Caenorhabditis elegans: one gene and its partner. The protein of the gene in region 2 purifies or fractionates together with the protein of the main gene of each other region. This does not show direct contact. Each region holds a gene or a part of one and is shown on either strand. Other genes may lie near its edges.

What was found.
Region 1: the proteins of ifa-4 (region 2) and Y22D7AL.16 fractionate together in Caenorhabditis elegans (co-fractionation; one large-scale study listed by BioGRID). This does not show direct contact.

The regions. Positions count from the first base shown.
Region 1 is NC_003281.10:1,659,341-1,668,932, forward strand, and holds Y22D7AL.16 (C2H2-type domain-containing protein), read right to left. Parts: upstream 5,877-9,592; 5' UTR 5,813-5,876; coding exon 5,763-5,812; intron 5,384-5,762; coding exon 5,354-5,383; intron 5,299-5,353; coding exon 5,242-5,298; intron 4,646-5,241; coding exon 4,498-4,645; intron 3,636-4,497; coding exon 3,483-3,635; intron 3,230-3,482; coding exon 3,111-3,229; intron 3,035-3,110; coding exon 2,872-3,034; 3' UTR 2,764-2,871; downstream 1-2,763. Other genes in the region: Y22D7AL.15 (LITAF domain-containing protein), read right to left, coding at 237-512; Y22D7AR.3 (Ovule protein), read right to left, coding at 6,153-6,277, 6,381-6,453; glb-30 (Globin domain-containing protein), read right to left, coding at 6,573-6,854, 7,544-7,682, 7,810-7,881, 7,950-8,056, 8,536-8,587, 8,638-8,733, 9,209-9,279.
Region 2 is NC_003284.9:4,909,844-4,920,198, forward strand, and holds ifa-4 (Intermediate filament protein ifa-4), read right to left. Parts: upstream 6,137-10,355; 5' UTR 6,134-6,136; coding exon 6,043-6,133; intron 5,527-6,042; coding exon 5,243-5,526; intron 5,187-5,242; coding exon 4,902-5,186; intron 4,859-4,901; coding exon 4,763-4,858; intron 4,718-4,762; coding exon 4,604-4,717; intron 4,556-4,603; coding exon 4,382-4,555; intron 4,333-4,381; coding exon 4,044-4,332; intron 3,593-4,043; coding exon 3,513-3,592; intron 3,145-3,512; coding exon 2,869-3,144; intron 2,808-2,868; coding exon 2,769-2,807; 3' UTR 2,465-2,768; downstream 1-2,464. Other genes in the region: K05B2.2 (Ras-associating domain-containing protein), read left to right, coding at 1,362-1,446, 1,503-1,733, 1,982-2,141; K05B2.4 (Acyl-coenzyme A thioesterase 1-like), read right to left, coding at 9,212-9,357, 9,478-9,643, 9,690-9,831, 9,967-10,055, 10,099-10,209, 10,254-10,355.

The DNA of each region.
Region 1 (9,592 bases), on a different chromosome or scaffold from region 2:
TAGTATTTAGAAACACTATTTTAAAAATATTGTAATCTGCAAACCTATAGTACCCGGGAGTTTTCGTGGCGGGACCCAAAAATTTTAAAGTAGAGCTCAAGGCTGGATTAAAACGCAATCTAGGACAAAATTTAGTGGAGATTCCGAATTTCCTAGTTAAACTTTATGTAAATCGCAATTCTACGGTGAAATTTAATTTTCGTGGTGAGACCCAACATCTCAATAAAACAACCAACCTGACATCTCGGACAGTACTCCAAATATGGTTTATCCTGATCCACGTGTTTCACAGAAGCACTAATGATTACAGTAGCCTGAGTAGGCTGCTGGACTACATGAGCCTGCACAACAGTCGGCTGGCCGTAAGCCTGTTGTTGGGGATAAGCCGCATAAACCGGCTGCATTTCCACGGCAACTGGCGCGCCGCCCACTACCGTATACGGGGGCGGAGCTGAATCCATTTGGGGTCCCGTAGCGACTGGGTACACTTGCGCTGTTTCTGGGTTACCCATTTTTTTGATCTGAAAAGAAATTTATAATGTTTTTTTTTAAATAAAAGTCTTGAAAAAATGGAAAAAAAAAGTTCACAAAAAAATGAATTTCTAAAAATTTCGAAAATTTTTTTAATTTTCAATTTCTAAAAGAGAAGTTATAAATACTGTAAATTTAACATTTTGAATAAATCAAGTTCATTTTAACTTCAAAATGAGCCCGCACAAGCCTTTGCTCCGCCAATTTTACATAAAATTCCAAATTTTATGGGTCTCGCCACGTAACTCCTAGGGTACTGTAGGTTTTGTAGTTTATATATATATATATATATATTTTTTAATTTTATTTTTAAGAACTATATAACTTCATAAATATAAATTTAGGGTTGAATTTTTTAAATGTTAAAATTTGTTAATTAAAAAAAATTGTTTTTTTTTGCAGAAAAAAAATTTCTGCATTAATTTTCCAATTTTTTGAAATTCCATAGCTTTTTCAGTTTTCAAGATTTTTAGCTGAATTTTAACTTAAAATAATGTCAATTACTTCATCTTTCTAGAAAAATTGTCAAATTTTGATAAAAGTTTCAAAATACAGTAGCCCATGAGTTTTCGCGGAGGGACCCGAAAATTTATAACTTCTGTTTGTAAGCACATGGGGTCAAATTTTTAGAATTAATTTAATTCAAAATAGTTTAAAATAAAATAGTTTAGCTATTAATTTCTGAAATTTAGTATTAGAAAAATTCGAAAAAAAAATTTTGAATATTTTTAAAAAATTTTTAAATTTCGTAACTCTTTCAATTTAAGAGATATTTAGCTGGTTTTGACTCCAAATGTAGAAAAATTTGTTTCTGTACGGTAATTTTATAGTAAATAAAATAGGTTAACAAACTACAGTACCCCAAGAGGTTTCGTAGCGGGACCCAAAATCCGAATTTTTTAAAATTGAATTTCAGTGGGTTTTTGGAGAATTAAAATTAAAAAGAAAACAAAAGTAATATATTATCTAGTATCATATTTTAATATCTAAAATTTCGTTAAAAAATATTTTGAAAGAAATATTTTTTTTAATTTTTAAGATTTTTTGATCATTTTTTTGCAAAATGTTAGGAATTTTATTTTCTACTATTTGATCAAGTTGTTTATGTATGAAACTACACGATTTTTCGTGGCGGGACCCGAAAATTCCCAATGGGCTCAAAGCTCAAAAGAACCTTGAAAAATCAAAAAAAGAAGGCAAAAAACGGTTAGAAAATCAAAATTTCAAATTTCAAAAGCGAAAAAATTAGGTGAAATGCCTTCAAAAACTAGATAACACGTAGAAAAATGAAAAAATGTGGAAAGCAGGCAAACATCGATTTTCGTTTCAACCCATACTTATCAGCTTATCATATTGTCATCACTCCCCTTCCAAAAAGTGGGCAAACAGTGATTCATTAAATGAAAAATTGATTAAAACATTAGAAAATTGTCATTTGACATCTTTAATAAATGAATTTTCAGAAAATTTGCGGAATTTTGATATAAATCATGGAAAATCGGAGAAAATTTCGAAACTTTTGGAATATGAGTCATTATGTAAAGAAATAGTACGAATATTTGCAGGCAAACTTTTTATGGGGAATTTTTTGAAAGCTAATTTTTTAAAAAGAAATTTGAATTCCCGCCAAAAATATTCACAGAATTTTGAATTCCCGCCGAAACTAAAAAAAAAAAATTAACACCCGCCAAATTTTTTAACAGTAATTCGAATCACCGCCAAAAATATTCACAGAATTTTGAATTCCCGCCAAAAATATTCACAGAATTTTGAATTCCCGCCAAAATTTTTAAAAAGAAATTTGAATTCCCGCCAAAAATATTCACAGAATTTTGAATTCCCGCCGAAATTTAAAAAAATTGAATTCCCGCCAAATCTTTCCTCAGAAATTTGAATTACCGCCGAAATTTTTCTCAGAATATTTATATTCCCGTCAAAATTTTTTACAGAAATTTGGATTACCGCCATATTTTTCTCTCAGAAATTTGAATTCCCGCCAAAAAAAATCTCATAATATTTGGAATTCTTCAGAATTAGCGAATTTGTGAAATTTATCTAAAAACTTTTTAAAAAGTAGGCTCTGAAAAGTCTCGAATATTGTTTGTTACATTTCGAATTAAAAATCTTAAAAGTTTTGACCACATTTTTGAGTATAAAAACCCAAAATTGTTAAAACTGTACCAAATTACAGATTCATGCCTAAACTATATCTTACACACATTAATTTTTACCGGGAAAAAAAATATTTATTTCAGACTTTTCCAGACAGAATTTTCTAAATTTTTAGGAAACCAACTATATTAAATAAGCAAAAAAATAATTTTTAACTTTTCTGAAAAGTCAATAATTTCGACGTCTGGACTTCATATCGTTGACGCAGGTCATGCAGGTTCTCGGGCGGTTTGAATGATCAAATGGACATGTGGATTTGTTACAAGTGTCCTCATAACGGCACATATTATGGGAATATATGCATTTGGCTCCAGGACATTGGGGGAAGTTTCTGGAAACTTTTTTTTGGTGAAAACCGTTGTTTTGAGCTTCTGAAATGTGCTCAAAATTCAGAAAAAATTGCTCACTTGCACTTGACCGGCGGGCCATGAGGACAGGATCCAACTCCACGGAGAGCACCACCAACTGAGACATTTTGACTGGAATTACGGCTTCCATGGCGATACATCCGCTTTTTTACTGTCTCCTGGAAAATTAGATTTTGAAAAAGGTTCCAACGGCTCAGCTGGTTACAGGTTTTGCTTCGAAAGAATTGGTCAAGGGTTCGAGTCCCACCAGTGGTAATTGTTTTTTTTTTAAATTTTTTTTATTTGAAAAATTGTTCTAAAATCCCAATTTGAGCCATAACTCGAAAATCGAAAATCTCAGGAAGCAAAATAAACTAAATTTTTTGGATTTTGCTCAAAAAATACGTTTTAAAACCCAAAAATTCTTCAAACCTTAAAAATATGATCCCTGAACTCGTCCCAATCATCATCTGACATTAATTCAGAGCTTTTACCAAATGGCTCCTGGCAATACGCGCAGATTACAGGCTTTGGGCCGTGTCGGTGGGCGGTATGGGCCGCCAGGCGCTCAATTGATTCGGATTTCTGAAAAAAGTTAGTTTTTTCCCCAAAAATCGATATTCCTAGAAAAATCAATATTCCTCCAAAAATCAATAATTTTTCCAAAAATCAATAATTTTCAATATATCTAGAAAAATCAATATTTCTAGAAAAAATCTATGTTCCTCCAAAAATCAATAATTTCTAAAAAATCATAGTTTTTTCCAGAAATTAATATTTCTAGAAAAATTATTATTTCTCCATAAATCAATAATTTCCAACAAATCGATAATTTCCAAAAATCAATAATTTCCAAAAATCATTATTTATCCAATAATCAATATTTCTAGAAAAATCAATATTCCTCCAGAAATTAATGTTTTTTCCGAAAATTTTCCATAAATCAATATATTCCAAAAATCATAGTTTTTTTCCAGAAATTAATATTTCTAGAAAAATCATTATTTCTTCATAAATCAATAATTTCCAAAAATCAATAATTTCTAAATATCGATACTTTTTCCAAAAATCAATACACCTAAAATCGATATTTTTCAGAAAATCATTCTTTTTTCAAAAATTCAATATTTCTAGAAAAGTCAATATTCTTCCAAAAATCAATATTTTTCAAAAACCATTAATTTCCATAAAATCGATAATTTCTGAAAATCAATATTTTAAAAAAATAAATATTTCTAGAAAAATTAATATTTCTAGAAAAATTAATATTTCTAGAAAAATTAATATTTCTAGAAAAATTAATATTTCTAGAAAAATTAATATTTCTAGAAAAATTAATATTTCTAGAAAAATCTATAATTTTTCAAAAACCATTAATTTCCATAAAATCGATATCTTCCCAAAATCAATATTATTTTTAAAAAATCAATATTTCTAGTCCATTTACCTTGTCACAATGATAGCAATTAAATTGATCTTCATGATTTTTAATCTCGTGCTCCGCGAGCTCCCGAATCGAGTCGAAAGCTTTCCGGCACTGACGGCAGTTGAATTGGGGAGCCTTCGGTGTCCGAGAACGGTCACGGACTGGGGAGCTGGAATTTTCGACAATTTTGGATTAAAACGGGAGAAAATTGGGCTAAACTTGTTTGCATTTTTTGAATTTTTCGAAAAATAGGAAGGACATAGATAGATCGATGAAAATAGTGATACAGTAGTGATAAAAATTTTTTTTTGTTACAATAAATTGATATCAACACAACAAATCATATATTGAGCCATAGCCTGGCTCATAATGCTCGGAGAGCAATATAACCTAGATTTTCGGATTTAGCAAAAAATTTTAAATAAAAAATTGTTCCAATGGCTCAGCTGGTTACAGCCTTGACTTCGAAAATAGGTCAAGGGTTCGAGTCCCACTAGTGGTAACAACTTTTTTTTGTTTAATTTGGCATAACATTTGGTTTTTTTCTGAAAAAATTGTCCTAAAATTCAATTTTGAGCCATAGCTGGGCTCGAAATGCTCAAAATTTAAAATTCCAAGCCAAGTAACTCTATAAAAATAATAAATGAGCAATTTGCCATGTAATCCATGTTTCCAAAAAAACACAACACAATAGATAAATAAGATACTTCTTCCCATATATATAGATAGTTTCAAAATATTTTCCAACTACAAAAATCAATATACTCAATCTCCTCAAACGTCCCACGGCTTGTTGAGCGGCTGCGGTTTCTTGCAATTGGACTGCAAAAGCGTCAATTTTAATTTTTTTTTTTGATTTTAAAAGTGACTAACATACCTTCTAGACCTTTCCCTGTTTTGTTTTGACCTGAAATTTAGAATTCAAAAAAAAAAGAAGATTGCTAGAAAACACCCGTACTTGATATATTTTCAAGTTTTATAGTGAAAAATTCGAATTCTCCGCCATGAAAAACCTAAATACACTGCCGGGGACTCGAACCCGCGACCTTTTTCACAGAGGTCAAACCTCTTACCCACTGCGCCACGGCGCCCATTACGCGCAGCAGCAGCGCCTGGCTCGGCGTACCGGTGGCGCAGTCGGTAACAGGGCTGGTTTTGGTGAAAAGGTCAGGGGTTCGAGCCCCCGCTGGGGTATTCAGGTTTTTCATAGCGGAGAATTCAAATTTTTCACTTTAAAATTCAAGATATCAACTCTAAAAGCACATTTTCAGACAAATCTTGCTTACCTTTTCTTATAGTCCTTCTTAGTTCTGCGATTATCCTCGCTGCTGCTCATTTTGGCACCTTGGCAGAAATAAGAGAAAAAAGGGGAATTCGTAAAGCAACAAAGCTGACAACAAAAATAAAAAGAAGTTGGAGCTTTTCCTTCGGGGAGAGGAAGGCGACCAGTTACCACGGAAACCTCGCCGCACCCCCTAATTGATAAGAGTTTTTCTGATTTCCACCTGCTGGTCGGGCTCTCGGCGTGCCCAGTGAGGTGTGAACTTTTTGTGGGAAAAAAGGAAAAAAAATTAGGGAAGGAGATTTTCATGTATTTGAAAATCAAAAAACAAAAATCATAGTAAAAATTTAAAAATCGATAATATATATATAATATACGAAAATAATCAAAAAATTCAAAAAAAAATCGATAACTTTACGAAGGAGTCGGCGAAGATTCCTCGAATGGTTCGACGTCGGATTTTCGGCGACAAATGAAATATTCGGGTACAATAATCGATAATTCGCGGCGACGTAGAGCCTGAAAATTAGATTTTTTTGAAGAAAAAATTATCGATTTTTTTTTGGAATTTTTTTTTGAGAAATATTGATTTAAAAAAAAAATTTTAGAAATAAAAACTTACATATCCCGCCGAGCATTTCGTGCAATTGAGCCAGCCAACAAAAAATTGGAATATTTGTGAAATTCGGGACCATACCCGTTGAAAAAAGCAAAAAAATTATTTTTGAAAAAAATCTATTTTTTTCAATTTTTTTATAAAAATTTAAAAAATTGTTAAATATTGAAAAATCACAATAACTACAAAAATATCATTTTAAACATGCATTCTAGCATTTGGAGATGCTGAAAATCGTCGTCTAACACATTTCGGCGACATTGAGGCCAGCGTTTTCAGAAAGTTACAGGTCGATGACGTCATCGGCTCTGCCGGTGTGGCAGTTATGTAGGCCAAGCTGTGACGGGTGGAAGCCGTGCGATGTTGTCTGCCAGAAAATGCAGAAATTTTCACCTGAGTAAGGTCCTGTTTCGTTTCGACGCTTAAGCCCGAGCTTAGGCCCGAGTCATCGCCGGATATCGAGTGCTGGCCGTTTATTGCCTGAAATTTATTGATTTTTCAATATGAAAACTAAGTCAGCAGTAGTCTGAAAATTTATCCATCGACTGATTTTTAGATCGTTTGAAAATATTGATTTTTGACTGATTTATGTAGAAATTTGTAAAAATCTAAATTTTGAAAAATACTTCGAGTCGCTACTCAGCCAATTTTCGAGATTTCACAATTATTTATGAGAATATAGATTTGTCAGACTGAGAGCTTCAAATTAAGTATAAACACGACTAGGTTCCGTGCAAAAACAATTTAGGCTCCGTCCACTTGTTGAAAAATATTGTGAAACTTCAGTTTTTCGAGAAAATACTGTTGTTTTCATTTAGATTTAGTGAAATTCAGTTTAGCCACTTTGAGAGCTTTTATTTAAGTATAAACACGACTAGGTTCCGATCGAAAAACGATTTAGGCTCCGCCCACTTCTTGGAAAAAATTGCGAAATTTGGGAGATTATGATTTTTCAAACAATTTTTCATTACATTTCTTCAATATTATCATTAAATTTAACTTTGTCACGCGGAGAACTTTAATATTAAGCTCCGCCCATTATTTTTGGCTCCGCCCACTTAAACTTTTTTTTTTTTGAAAAATCGATTTTTTTTCTTCATTTTCAATCGATTTTCCTCCTTTTTTTTTGCCAGATTTTCACTATTTTTTCTAATTTTCCTTGAGCAAACCTGTTTATTGGATTTTCTAATAGCTCCCGACTCGGAATATCCGACCTTCATGCGATCAATGATGAAGCGGAGCACCTCCCGCCACAGAATAATGGCCGAATCGATTTCGGCAAACGACATTTCATTTCGCTTGTGGAACCTGTGAAATCTGGGATTTTCATGGGTAAAATTTGTAGAAAATCGGTGATTTATCGATTTTTTGGCGGTAAAATCGATAATTAATTGATTTTTTTTTGCACAGATTTTGAAAAATTGATAAAACTCACTTATTATGTGATTTCATTGCTTTCCGAAAATGAAACAACACACATTCCTTGAAAACCGACCAATAATGAGCGCTGAAATTAAGAATCAAAAAATCAATAAATTATTGATTTTTTAAACCCCTCCCCCCCCGGCGGCCTACCTAAAACCCAGCTGTTCTTCATGTTTTGCGTGGATTTTTCCCAAATTTAGAAAAACCGCGTCGAGTTGAGCAGGATCTTCCAAATGTGTCATTGTTGACTCGATAACCTGCAAAAAATTGATAAAATCAATGAAATTAAGGTAAAAATTGAAAATTTTATTAAATTTAGTTGTTTTTGAGTCGCTACTCACCCATTTTAGTAGAGTGGATATTGATTTTAGGATTTTTGAAATCTCCCGGACAGGAGCTTTGATTTAAGTATAAACACGACTAGGTTTCGTAAAAAAACCATTTAGGCTCCGCCCACTTCTTGGAAATATTGCGAAATTTGGGAGATTATGATTTTTCAAACAATTTTCCGTACTTTTCGAATATTTTTTAAAAATGATACTAAGTTTAATTTACCCCACTGAGAACTTTAATATAACTATACATTTTTCTTTAGCTATTTAGGCCCCGCCCACTTTTTGGGGGCGGAGCCATGGAATTTCGTGTCATTTTTTTAAAACAAGACATGTGGGGGGTCATTTTAAAGGTCTCAATGAGCTGAACTCATTTTTTTATGTAAAAAAATGTTTAAACCCACCTGCAAAAACCGCACTGCGTGAAAAATGAACTCGTTGCTCTTTTTGTCCTCTCTGAAATTTTTGGGGTGGTTATTTTGAGTATTTTTCTGGAAAATCGATACTTATAGTCTTTCATCATGAAGGAGAACATGAGTTTTGCATCGGGAGCTTGTTCGAATATCATTTGGAATATATTTACAGCCACTTGTTGCATGTCTCTGAAAAAAAAAATTTTTGGAAATTTTTTGAAAAATCTGACATTTTCGAAAATTCATAACTTTTTCATGTTTCGAGATTTTTTGCTAATTTTTGTTTTATTAATCTCTATTAGTACCTATTAACTATTTAAAATTAGTTTTGTAACAGTCACCCAAAAAACTACAGTAACCCAGGAGTTTTCGTGGCGGGGCTCAAAAATTCATAACTTTTTCAATTTTTGAAATTTTTGCTCATATTTTGCTTTTAAGTTTACAATAAATGTTTGTTATACGCAACATCAAAAAAATTAACAAAAATTCAAACAAATCTACAGTAACCCAAGACTTTCGTGGCGGGACCCATTTTTTCTGAAAATCAGCGGAACCAAGCCATATTTGGGGTCAAATGAAAGCTCTCAATGAGCTGAACTCAAATTATTTAATAAAATCCACTGAAGTATTTAAAATAATCTTAAAATTTGGAAAAAAAACTCACTTGGACACAATTCCCCAGGACTTGTTCAGAATTTCCCTGTCTATCGGTGTCAAATGGGATAATGACTCCATTTTCATGGAAAATCTGAAATTTTTCTTATGTTTTTGATAAAAAAGCGTAAAATACAAAAAAAAAATTAGAAAAAGTCAAGAAAAAATTTTTTAAATAAAAAAAAAATTTTCAGAATTTTTTTCAGAAAAAAAAAAGAAGCCGAACAACTCGAAAAAGTGCTCGAAATAATATAAATTCTATAATTTATGTAAATAATATTACTTGGAAGCCGAAAATGCATAGTAATTGAGCTCATGAAGAGAGAAGGAGAAGGACAAGAGCAAAAAAAAAGTTTCTGAAAATTCTGGAGTCCCGCAGCGAAAACACGTGGGG
Region 2 (10,355 bases):
ATTTTAAAAATGGATAATTACCGATTGTCAATTTTCAGGCTGATTTTGAGCCCTTTTTTCAAAATTGTCAGCTATAGTTGATGCATATTTTCAGATATATTAACTGATTTTCTCTATTTTAATATTAATTTCCAACAACCAACGTTCAAAAAACATGGCGCAATAGGAATTTTTTGTAGAATTACCAAAAATAATTGAACTCAAAACGAACTCAAAAATTTAATTTTTTTTTCGTTTTTTAGTGAATAACCAAGTATCAAAAAGTGAAATTTGTTTAAGTATTGATGTGTTTCAAATTTTCTGGCAATCGGAATTTTCGAAAATTTGAACAGTTTCGATATCCCCTCGTCTCTGGCTATGAGTCACACTGTATGCATTTCCTAACATTTAACATTTTTGAGAAAATTAAAAATTTAAATGAGCTCAAACTATCTTAAATAGCGGAAGCTGTATTTTAGATTTCTTCGACAAAATCGAACATTTTGGATTCTTATCAATTAGTCATACATACATTTCTCGTATGAAACCAGATAGGACCCAATTTGATCTTATAAAATACAAATTTTTGAACAATTTTTCCCAACTTCTCAATTTTTCTGGTTCATCACCTTATTGTTATGAAATTTTCTGACTAGAGCTATTCTTTTATAGTCAAAATGTCATCTGAGTTTTTTATTAAAAAAATCAAAAGTTTTAAATTCCAATTTTTTATCATATATCTTTGTTCATTATCATTTCATTTTTTGAAAACTGGCACCCAACTTTTTGAAAAGTAAAGTACTAACGGAAACACAAAGACGGCCCCCCGGAAAAGTACAAATCATTGTCAACAAAAGACTGCTTCTATTTGATTTTTTCACGTTCGGTACATGGTTCTCGATAACCTCCCGGTGTTGACCGCTTCAGTTGATTGCAGAATGAAAAAAAACTTGTCTGTCATTTGTTCAATCGTTCTCTCTCTCTCTTTCTTACTCTCTATCTTTTTTGAAAATTGTCCCCTTAACGTTATCTAAGCCATTTAAAGTTTAAATCAGTTTTACTTTTATTTATAGATGATTTTAGTTTGGCCACTCCCCGCGGTGAACCATTTTTCGTCACTTTCAATTTTATTTTATTTTTCAGTTTTTAAAAAAATACAATCAAAAATGTGATTTTTGAAAAAGAAAAAAATACATATTACGTCAATTTGAATTCGGCAACTATATTTTTAGAAATCTAGCAGTGTTGCAAATTTTGTGTCACACTATCTCACATCCTCCTCCGGTTTTTGGTTGAAAATAGTATGAAAGACCGCCCACGCGACCTGACCGGATAGTTCATCGTCATCCGACCATGTCTTCTAGTATATAATCTCATTTCAGACTACATGTCAGTCATGGAGAAAAAGAATATCACGATGGGCGCCGCCACTATCCCACAGAAAGACGATTTTGATTGTTTCAAAAGGTGAGTCTTTGGTGATCTGATTGGTTGTGCCTTACTCCCAATTGAAGAAATTTCAGAGCCGACGTGAAAAAGTTGTCGGAAACGATGAATCAACAAGAAGTCGCCGAGTATCTTGTGCAGGAGGAAGAGCTTCGTCAACTGCTTAAGCAACAGAAAAATTTGCGAGCAATTCTGAAGCCGATGATCGCTGCAAACTGGCCGCAACAATACCAACTTGAGCTCAAGAAATCGCACAAGCTGAAGGCTTCGCTAGCAGCTACAAAAGAAGCAATCAACAAGACTAGAAGGTAAGATCTTTGAACTTTGAACTATGCCAGACAAAAGAGACCCCGGAAATTATGATGATCATATCGATCCACGTGATTGTGACCACGTCGTCCTTTATCTATTGACATTGAGAGTGTTCGGCTGATTGCCTTATCAAGGACGTCACGTCGACCAAATGTATTCAAAATTCTGCAACTTGGACCACAAAATTGACAAACGAAATGCACTTTAGAAGAACTGTTTGTTTAATTGTTTTTTTAAATTTCAGTGACATCTTGCGCGTCGAAGAAACCGAAAAAGACTTGATGAAGAAGTTGGCCGAGTTCAAGAAGCAAGATGAGAATGGAGATGAGAATTCAGAAGTCTTGGAGACATCTTTCGACTTGGGATGTTCAGGGACCTCCACCCCACTAACTGTCATTGCCTGAGCTCCTTACTTTCAAAATTTTAGCGTTCATGTTATCTGTGTATTTTTGTCGATCCACGTGTCAAGCTATCGGCTTTATCCCACTTCAGTTATTTCAAGTTTTTCCCTCTCACAAACCCCCACTCAAGAATTGGCTTCATTCCTTACCGCATTATTCAATCATCAGACTCTGGAAAGTTTACATTTTCCCACGAATCACTTTTTTCTGTATTTGTTTCTATATGTCATTTCTCCTTACTTTCCCTGTGCATTTACCCATTTCTATTCCCCCAGTTGTCCAACAAAAAGTTCCCAAAAAAATAACCAAGCAAACTGATCAGAAATAAAATAAGCAGTTTATAGTTTACAAATGTTAATTGATGGAAAAAGCACATGGTAAAGCAATGGAAATGTTAGAGAGTTAGCCAAAAAATGAAAGGCTTTTCGTATGATATGAAACGAAAATCAATGTTTCACTTTGGCGGTTCAAAACAGTATTGGTTTATTCTGAAAATCCGAACATTTATAGGAATGGCTAACGGTGAGAACAAATGTATCTTGGGTCAAGATTCGATCAAACATTAAAAGTAGAGAGTTGAGGCAAGCGAGAGTAATTCCGGGTTCAATAGGATTTAATTGGTTGATGCAATTAGGTGTGTGAAGCACGTTGGCTGTGGGAAGCACGGTCCTGAAACAAGATAAATAACGTTTCCAGTCAGTTCCAGCGCGCATAATTTATTGACGCTTACCTCTCCTTCTTTGTTGTAGAGAGTAGTAACGACGTCGTTTCCGGTGCCGAACGAGTCTTCGAGGTCGTACACAAGACTATCGGGTGGGGAATGAACTCCCTGCCCACGTGCGAAAATTTTCACGCTCTTTTGAGCACGAAGGGTGAACTCGCGCGGGAAGGTGAACACGATTTCGCGTTTTCCGGCAATCTTCCGACGGAGTTTCCAGTCTCCGATGTTCTCATCACGTCTTGAGATGTTCTCCAGTACAATGTACTTTCCAGATGGCTCGGCTTCCTGAAAATGGTGGATTTTTTTCTTGCAAAAATGAAAAATCGAAAACACTGTTTTCAGAAATTTGGGCACGGCCACTTTAAGGAAAGTTTTTGTTCAGCATGATCCGACATATATTTGGTTTTGCACAGGACTAGGTTCTGAGTGAGCAGCGAACCCGGTTAATGTCGGATCATGCAAAATCGTCACACCAGGCACATATTTCTAAATTTTGTGCACGGCCATTTTGAAGAATAGTCATTTTCTGAAGTGTTCAGTGGAAATTGCAGGCAAAAACTCGCTCAAAAAATGTCCATGATTGCTTTCAAAATTTTGCTATAATTGTTTTTTTCAGAATATACATCAATTTTTGGGATGTAATTTCCACTCACCTGAATTGCAATATTTCCTTTTGCTGATCTGGAATACGACGAATGACTAGTCGTTTCACCTTTGAGAACTCGAAGACTCTCTGCAACAAAACACAAAAACTGATATAAATTTGCAACTAACAATGCCTCGTGACACCTATTACTCCTATTAATCTTACCGTGCGGCTTTCTGCGAATTTTATCACCGACAAGGTAATGGGTATGGGGAACGTCGTCAAAAGTGATAGTCTCGTATTGAGAACAATGAATTTCTGGCATGTTACTTTTTTGGGTTAAAGATGAAACAATGCTGTTCCAAATCAAAAGTAAAGCGATTAAATAGGAGTACTAAATTGACCAAGGTATATCAACAAGGGGACACACCCAGCGGTCTCTCTGGGCGGAAAACAATAATAAAGTTACGTTACACAGTTTGGTGACCGCATGACTTGAAAACTTGAAACAAGTTATCAGTGGACGTATACTTTAAATTTTAACCGTAATTTGTGGTCATCGTAACGTGAAGTAAACATTGAGTATACGCGAACCTACCAATTTCCTTGGTTTGATGAATAGATGTTGTCTTAACAACCTGCTCGACGAGCTGACGTAGACCTGCGCGATTCTCTTCTCCATCAAGCATCTTACGGTAGATCACAATTTCAGCATCGAGAGTCTGTTTTGTATCAATGAGCATTTGAAGCTCAACCATCAGGATCTTGCTCTCGTCACGAAGTTTGTTGATCGATGTGTCCTTATCGTTCAGTGATTGTTCATATGATCTCATATCCTCTTCCATCTGGTAGTTGAGGTCTTCGATTTGTTTTTCGAGGAGAAGATTCTGAAATGTTGACAAATAATATCAGATGTATATAGTCATCAAAACGAACTCTTCCTTCTAGATCCGCCATCTTTCCACGCATATCACCAAGTGTTGTGCGGAGTCTCTTAACTTCCTCGCGAGCATAATTCTGCTCCAAGCAGTTGCGAGAATTTTGAGTGTGAATTTCTTGAACCTTCAGCTTGTACCAAGACTCGATGTCAGTACGGGTAGTGTTGCTCACCTGTAATTCAAGTCTCTATTTTTTACCTCTTTTAATGACTTTTCTCACATGATCATATTCGCTTCTGATCTCACGAATAGCAGAGGATAACTCATTCTTGAAATATTCGCGGTTTTCCACCGTAGTATCACGAGATGCCATAGCGAGAAGATCGTGGATTTCCTGAAAAAGACACTCGTTGAAAGCTGTACTAATTGTTTTTCATACCGAATCATGAATTCTGCGAATGAAATCACACTCCTCCAGTAGTGTCTGCACTTGATTTTGATAATCGATGCGGTTCAGAGTTTCTTGTTCCACAGCCTGAAAGCTGTACATATAAATTAAGTTTTCTACTGAAACTTACATTTCTGGCATGATGAAGTGAGTCGATCATACGATGATTTTCGCGCTTCAAATGACCGATGCTTTCTTCCATCAGAGAAATTCTTCTTTTCAATAGCTCAATCTCGGCTTCCAATGCTCCAAGTCTTCCGAGCACATTGTCAAGCTCTTTACGTGTAACGTCAGCACCTCTTTCAGCCTCATGAAGTTTGTTTCTATAGTTGTTCAGCTCTTCAACAAGTTTCTTAATTTGATCTTCTAGCTGAGCTCTTTCTTTGTCAGAATCGGCGATCAGGTCTTTCGCACTCTGAACAGAATTTAAAGTTTCTCAGATTTTGCTGTATATAATATTCATTCACTTACTCTGAGCTCAGTCTCATACATAACTTTAACACTTGTAGAATCGTGTCCCCATTTTCCACGGAGCAAATTCAAGTCCTTCTCCATCTTGCGATTTTGAGCCTCCAAGAATCGAACTTTCTCAATGTAGCTCGCCAGGCGGTCATTGAGTTCACTCATTTCTTTTTTCTCGCGAGTACGAGATTCACGAATGGCAGAGGCGGCATGGCCTCCGAATGGAGACATGCCTGATGTTAGATTAGATCCACCGATCTCTGTGATCTTGAGTGTGCGGCTAGTTCCAGAAGCTGAAATTTGAATTTTTGGAAGTCAGTTTTTGTAGTTTGAAGTAGTTTTTAAACGTGTATCAGAACTGAAAAATAACACTTGACAAACATGACCATAAAACAAAAAAAATTTGTAGGTTTTCCAGAGGAATCAATTCATTAATGTTAATAATTTTTTAACACTTTTTAAATTTTTATTTTTAACTTTACAGTCAAAAAAGTTCACTTAATCATTTTTCACCAATCATAATTTTGGTAGTGAGACAATAAAACATTCCACAAGTTTTTTCTTTTAATTGAATTTTAATTGATTTTATTTGTACATTTTGAAAGTTCAGATCAGCAAAAATGTTCAAAACTTCTCAAAAGGTCAGGGTTGTTGTTTGAACGTTTGGCATATTGCCAATTGAATATTGTAAAACATAAATTAAAACATTTGGAGGGTTTAATTTTAATATAAATCATATAATACATCATATAATACAATTTTAAAGACAAAGTACTGCTCATATTCAAAATATTCATCTGAAAACTCACAAATAGTACTTCCATAGGTGGCGGTGGATTGCATTGTTCTGTTAAACGTTGGTCGAACCGAAATTGAGCTTCGGTATTCGCTCTCCGACATTTCCTACAAACATGGAAACTTAAATAGTTTTCAATTAATTGCATTTTCATAATCGAAAATTAAAAAAAAAACACAGCGAACTATTTTTCGATGAAAAAGTGTAGAAAAGTTACCTCATAGTAAATGACGTTATACATATGTGACAAGAATATGAGTGAATATGACACAGATTAGAGATGGATCGTTTGTAGGACACAATGACAATGCGCGAGATCTATTAGCTGTTTCGAGAGCCCTAACTCTTGACAGAACAAAAAACCGTGTTACAAATTGGCGCGCGCACTATTTATTTTGACGGGACTTGGCATGCGTGGAAAGAGGATGCCTAGGAGGGTTTACTCCTAATTGTCTGTATAGTCAAATTATAGAAGGAAAAAACCAGGCATGAAACAGAAAATGAAACAGAAACTAAAAACTGGGAGAGTGTAACGGTTCATCGAGCTATTGACGAACGCGCACTGACCGCTATTCAAAAGCGGACGGCGGTGGCGACGGCGATTCGGTGACCGATTACTAGATGCTAGCTGCCGTCATGGCGTGTTTATACACAATGCTACTGTTTCACAACGTTTCCATATTCATGAGTATTAAAGGATCGTAAACACCTTATATTATTCTGAATTGTTTTGGTTGTGAAGGGATGACAAAAGATAAGCACGTCAAAACTAAAATCGAAAAATGGAAAAATTTTTAGTATGCGATAAGGGGAGGATAATGGGAATACAAATTGACAAAAATAAGTTCAGAGCATCGAAACTGCGTGTTCTAAAATTTAGGTGAAATGTTTACGACTTGTTAAAAATTCAATGTTCAAAAGGGTCTTAATCTATAATTCTGAAATTTATTTGATTGTGTCTATCTCAGAAACTATTAGCGTTGGGAAAAAGTTCAATAAATAAAATTTAGCTGATTATATTGTCTACAGGTTCAGATTGTTTCAAATCTGCACCCCGCGATCTCGTTCTTAGATAAATCGGCCGACATCTTACAAGTCAGCCTTTGATTATGGTTCGTGATTTACTTGTACAGCCAAAATAACAATTATTAATGAAATTGTTTGTATACAAGTTCATTTTAAAACTGCCAAAAAATTGAAGTTAAACATTTAAAATAAAAACAACACTGAAAAAAAAACTCACGGCAAACGGTCTTCTTTAAAACGGAATTTAAAATTAAAACTTCCCTTAAAATTCAAATCTACATAAAATGTTCTGAAACATAATGCTAAGATGTCTGTTGATTAATGAAACTTATGATTTGTATAAAATAAATTGCATTATCATCAGGAAAAGAGTCATTTTTTCAGTACATGCGAACTTTATTAATTAAGAAACTAGAAAAAAAAACAAACTTTCCTTTTTTGTTTTTAAGTATTATACTAACGTTTAAAAGGAAGGTTGCATTGGAAAAATAGAACCAGTGTCATTTTTAAAAAAGCTCAGTTACAGTACTCCCTTTTAAGGAGACCGTGTCGGACAAACAAACCGTAGGTGTTGCCTGAAATATATATGCAAAATAACACGGAGGCGGAGCTGTTGCCTTCATGTACACAAACGAAACTCGGCCTGTAAAATCAGGGAGAGAAGAAAAAATGGGCGAAAAGGGCGGATTGATAGCGGGTATCAAAACAAACATTTGCATTTTGAGAGTCTCTTTTTAAACATTTTTTTACTTTTTTGCTTTACAATTGCGGGAGGGGGAGGTAGGGAAATAACATATTTGTTGGGTAGTGCATATGAGTCAAAAATTGCACGCAGGTGAAATAGTAAAAATTGAATTTTGGTGAGATTTAAATGAAAATTAAACTAACAACACACGTATTACTAATTCAACAACGTTTATTTGAAATGGAAATTATTTCTTAATGCGTCTTTAGCTTTTAATTGGTATTTTCTACTTACACTGGCAATTTTGCAATTTTTGTAAAATGAGCAACGCCACATCGCAAACTATCCGTATAAAATGGCACAAGACCGAAATTCATAATAAAAGTGGTATTTTTTGTTGTATTTTCCAAGAACGTTGACTAAATTGCTTAATTCTTCTGGTGCATTTTGGTTAATCATAACGCGTTTTTATGTCAACTAATTATTTTTTAATTTTCAATTATCTAATTTTTCTAATTTTTATCTATCATTATAATTAATCTAATTTTTAATTAGTAAGGTATGTTTTCAATTGATATTTAATTAAACACAGGTATGCGTTGCAAATATGCTAAATTATTAATAATTCAATAAAACCTAATGTCCTAAAACACGTATAAGTTGGAGAATTTTAGCGAAATTTAGCCTTTTGTCAAATTTTCAATTATAAAAAGTGCACGAGAAGGTTTAGGAAAGTTACAGTACTAGTGATTTCATTCTATATACTCAAATACAAAGCAACGCAAGTTTTTGATCTATGTAGACAATAAGCTTGGGGATAAACTACGTCGTCTGCAACGTATTAAAAACACATAAATAACAACTGGAAACTTTGCGAATCCATATATAATGTGAAAATTCAGCGTTTCGCTTCTAATAAAGAGTATGACAGTTTTTCGGGACAGATGCTAACATTTCTTGAAAAGTTAAACCGCGCCCGTAAACTGATTACAGTTCATATCCTATTCAGGGGTATCGGTTCGGAACGTAAAAACAGGTTATGTATTTTGTATTCTGAATATTTTTCATAAGAACTGACTAAGCCGTTTCGGTGCGCTCAACGTGCGGATTACAGTGTACCAATACACATATTGCAATACGACTCCCTTTGTTGTTGTCGTTCTGCATAATTATTCATGGAACGCGTAGGTTGAAGGCGATAATGATGTATCATTTGTACCTATTGCGGGTGGGGGACAATAACTTCACAATATGTATGTCTCTTTTCAATTTTGATTGTGACTCACCGGCAACCATCTCAAACGTTTATCAATTTGTCGTCGAACGCAATTTCAGATGCTTTTTTCGCTTTTTTTGTGTTCGAAATGATTGGAATTTCATTTCGACATACAAAGAGAGTATTTATATTCAAATCAATTTTTTGTAAGTAAAGAAATGGAGAGATGATTTTATTTGCACAGAGAAATGAAGTTCAAAGTTTTGCCAAATGTCTCGAATAGTCAGGAAGAGGAGTTGGCGCGCCGAGGTGTTCGGAGAAAAATTGGACAGTTTTTTCCCAGACTTCAAACTGACTTTTTCCGTGAAGGCTTGTTTCACCACCATATGCTTGGAAGGTTCCTGAAAATTTGAATTTTAGAAAACAAAGTTAACAAAGTTTAATAAAAAATCAATGAAATCGGAATTTTAGATGTTGCAACAGCGGTCGACAGCGGGCCAACAAAAAAAATAATAATTTACCTGCAAAAGCTGAAAACACAGCTTCGTGATGCGGAAAACATGGAGGATCTAGCAAATGACCACCAGAAACATAATGAACTTCGACTTTCCTGTTTAAGTTTCTCAACTTTTCTGATAACACCTTTCCTACAAATACAGTTGGTGTGCTCAAATCATCTACGGCGAGCTGAAAATTTGAAATTATTTCTATGTTTTTTGTCGGGAAAACTAACAGAAAATCTAAATGCAGTTTCTGGACTTGAATCCTCGAATTTAAATCCTGCCCCATCTTCAAGTTTTAGGTTTCTGACCATATCAGTGTACACCATTAAATCATTCAAATACCAGATATCCTCAATTCCTTGATTGATAAATCTGAAATGCTGAAATTTGTCGGGGGTTTTATCATTTCGATTTGATGCTCAAATGTGTGATTCCTTTTCATTTGTTATATTATAACAGAATTTTTATAAACATTTAATGAAAAATGACATTTTTCTAAAAATGCACCTTCCTACTGGAGGTTGTTTTCCATCTATCAATACGTGCGCAAATTCGTCCATTGTGAAACTGCCATTGATTGAGCATGCCGCTTTTATCTTTAAACTATTAAATTTGTTTTCAGACAACATTAAATCCTACCTGTTTGAACCTTGTGGTGAGAAACATAACAAGAGTTCCTCCAAACGATATACCTTGAAAGCCAATCCTGTCATTCGTATAGGGTAATGAAGTGACAAAATTGATGGCATCCTGGAAGTATAACGTTTTTGAAAAATACAAAATATTTCTTCAACCTCAAAATATCGTAATTCGACTTCTTGCAATTCATATGGCAAATCTTTGTATTTGAAGAATGCAAGGCATAGGACTGCAAAACCACGACTGGCAAGTGCGGC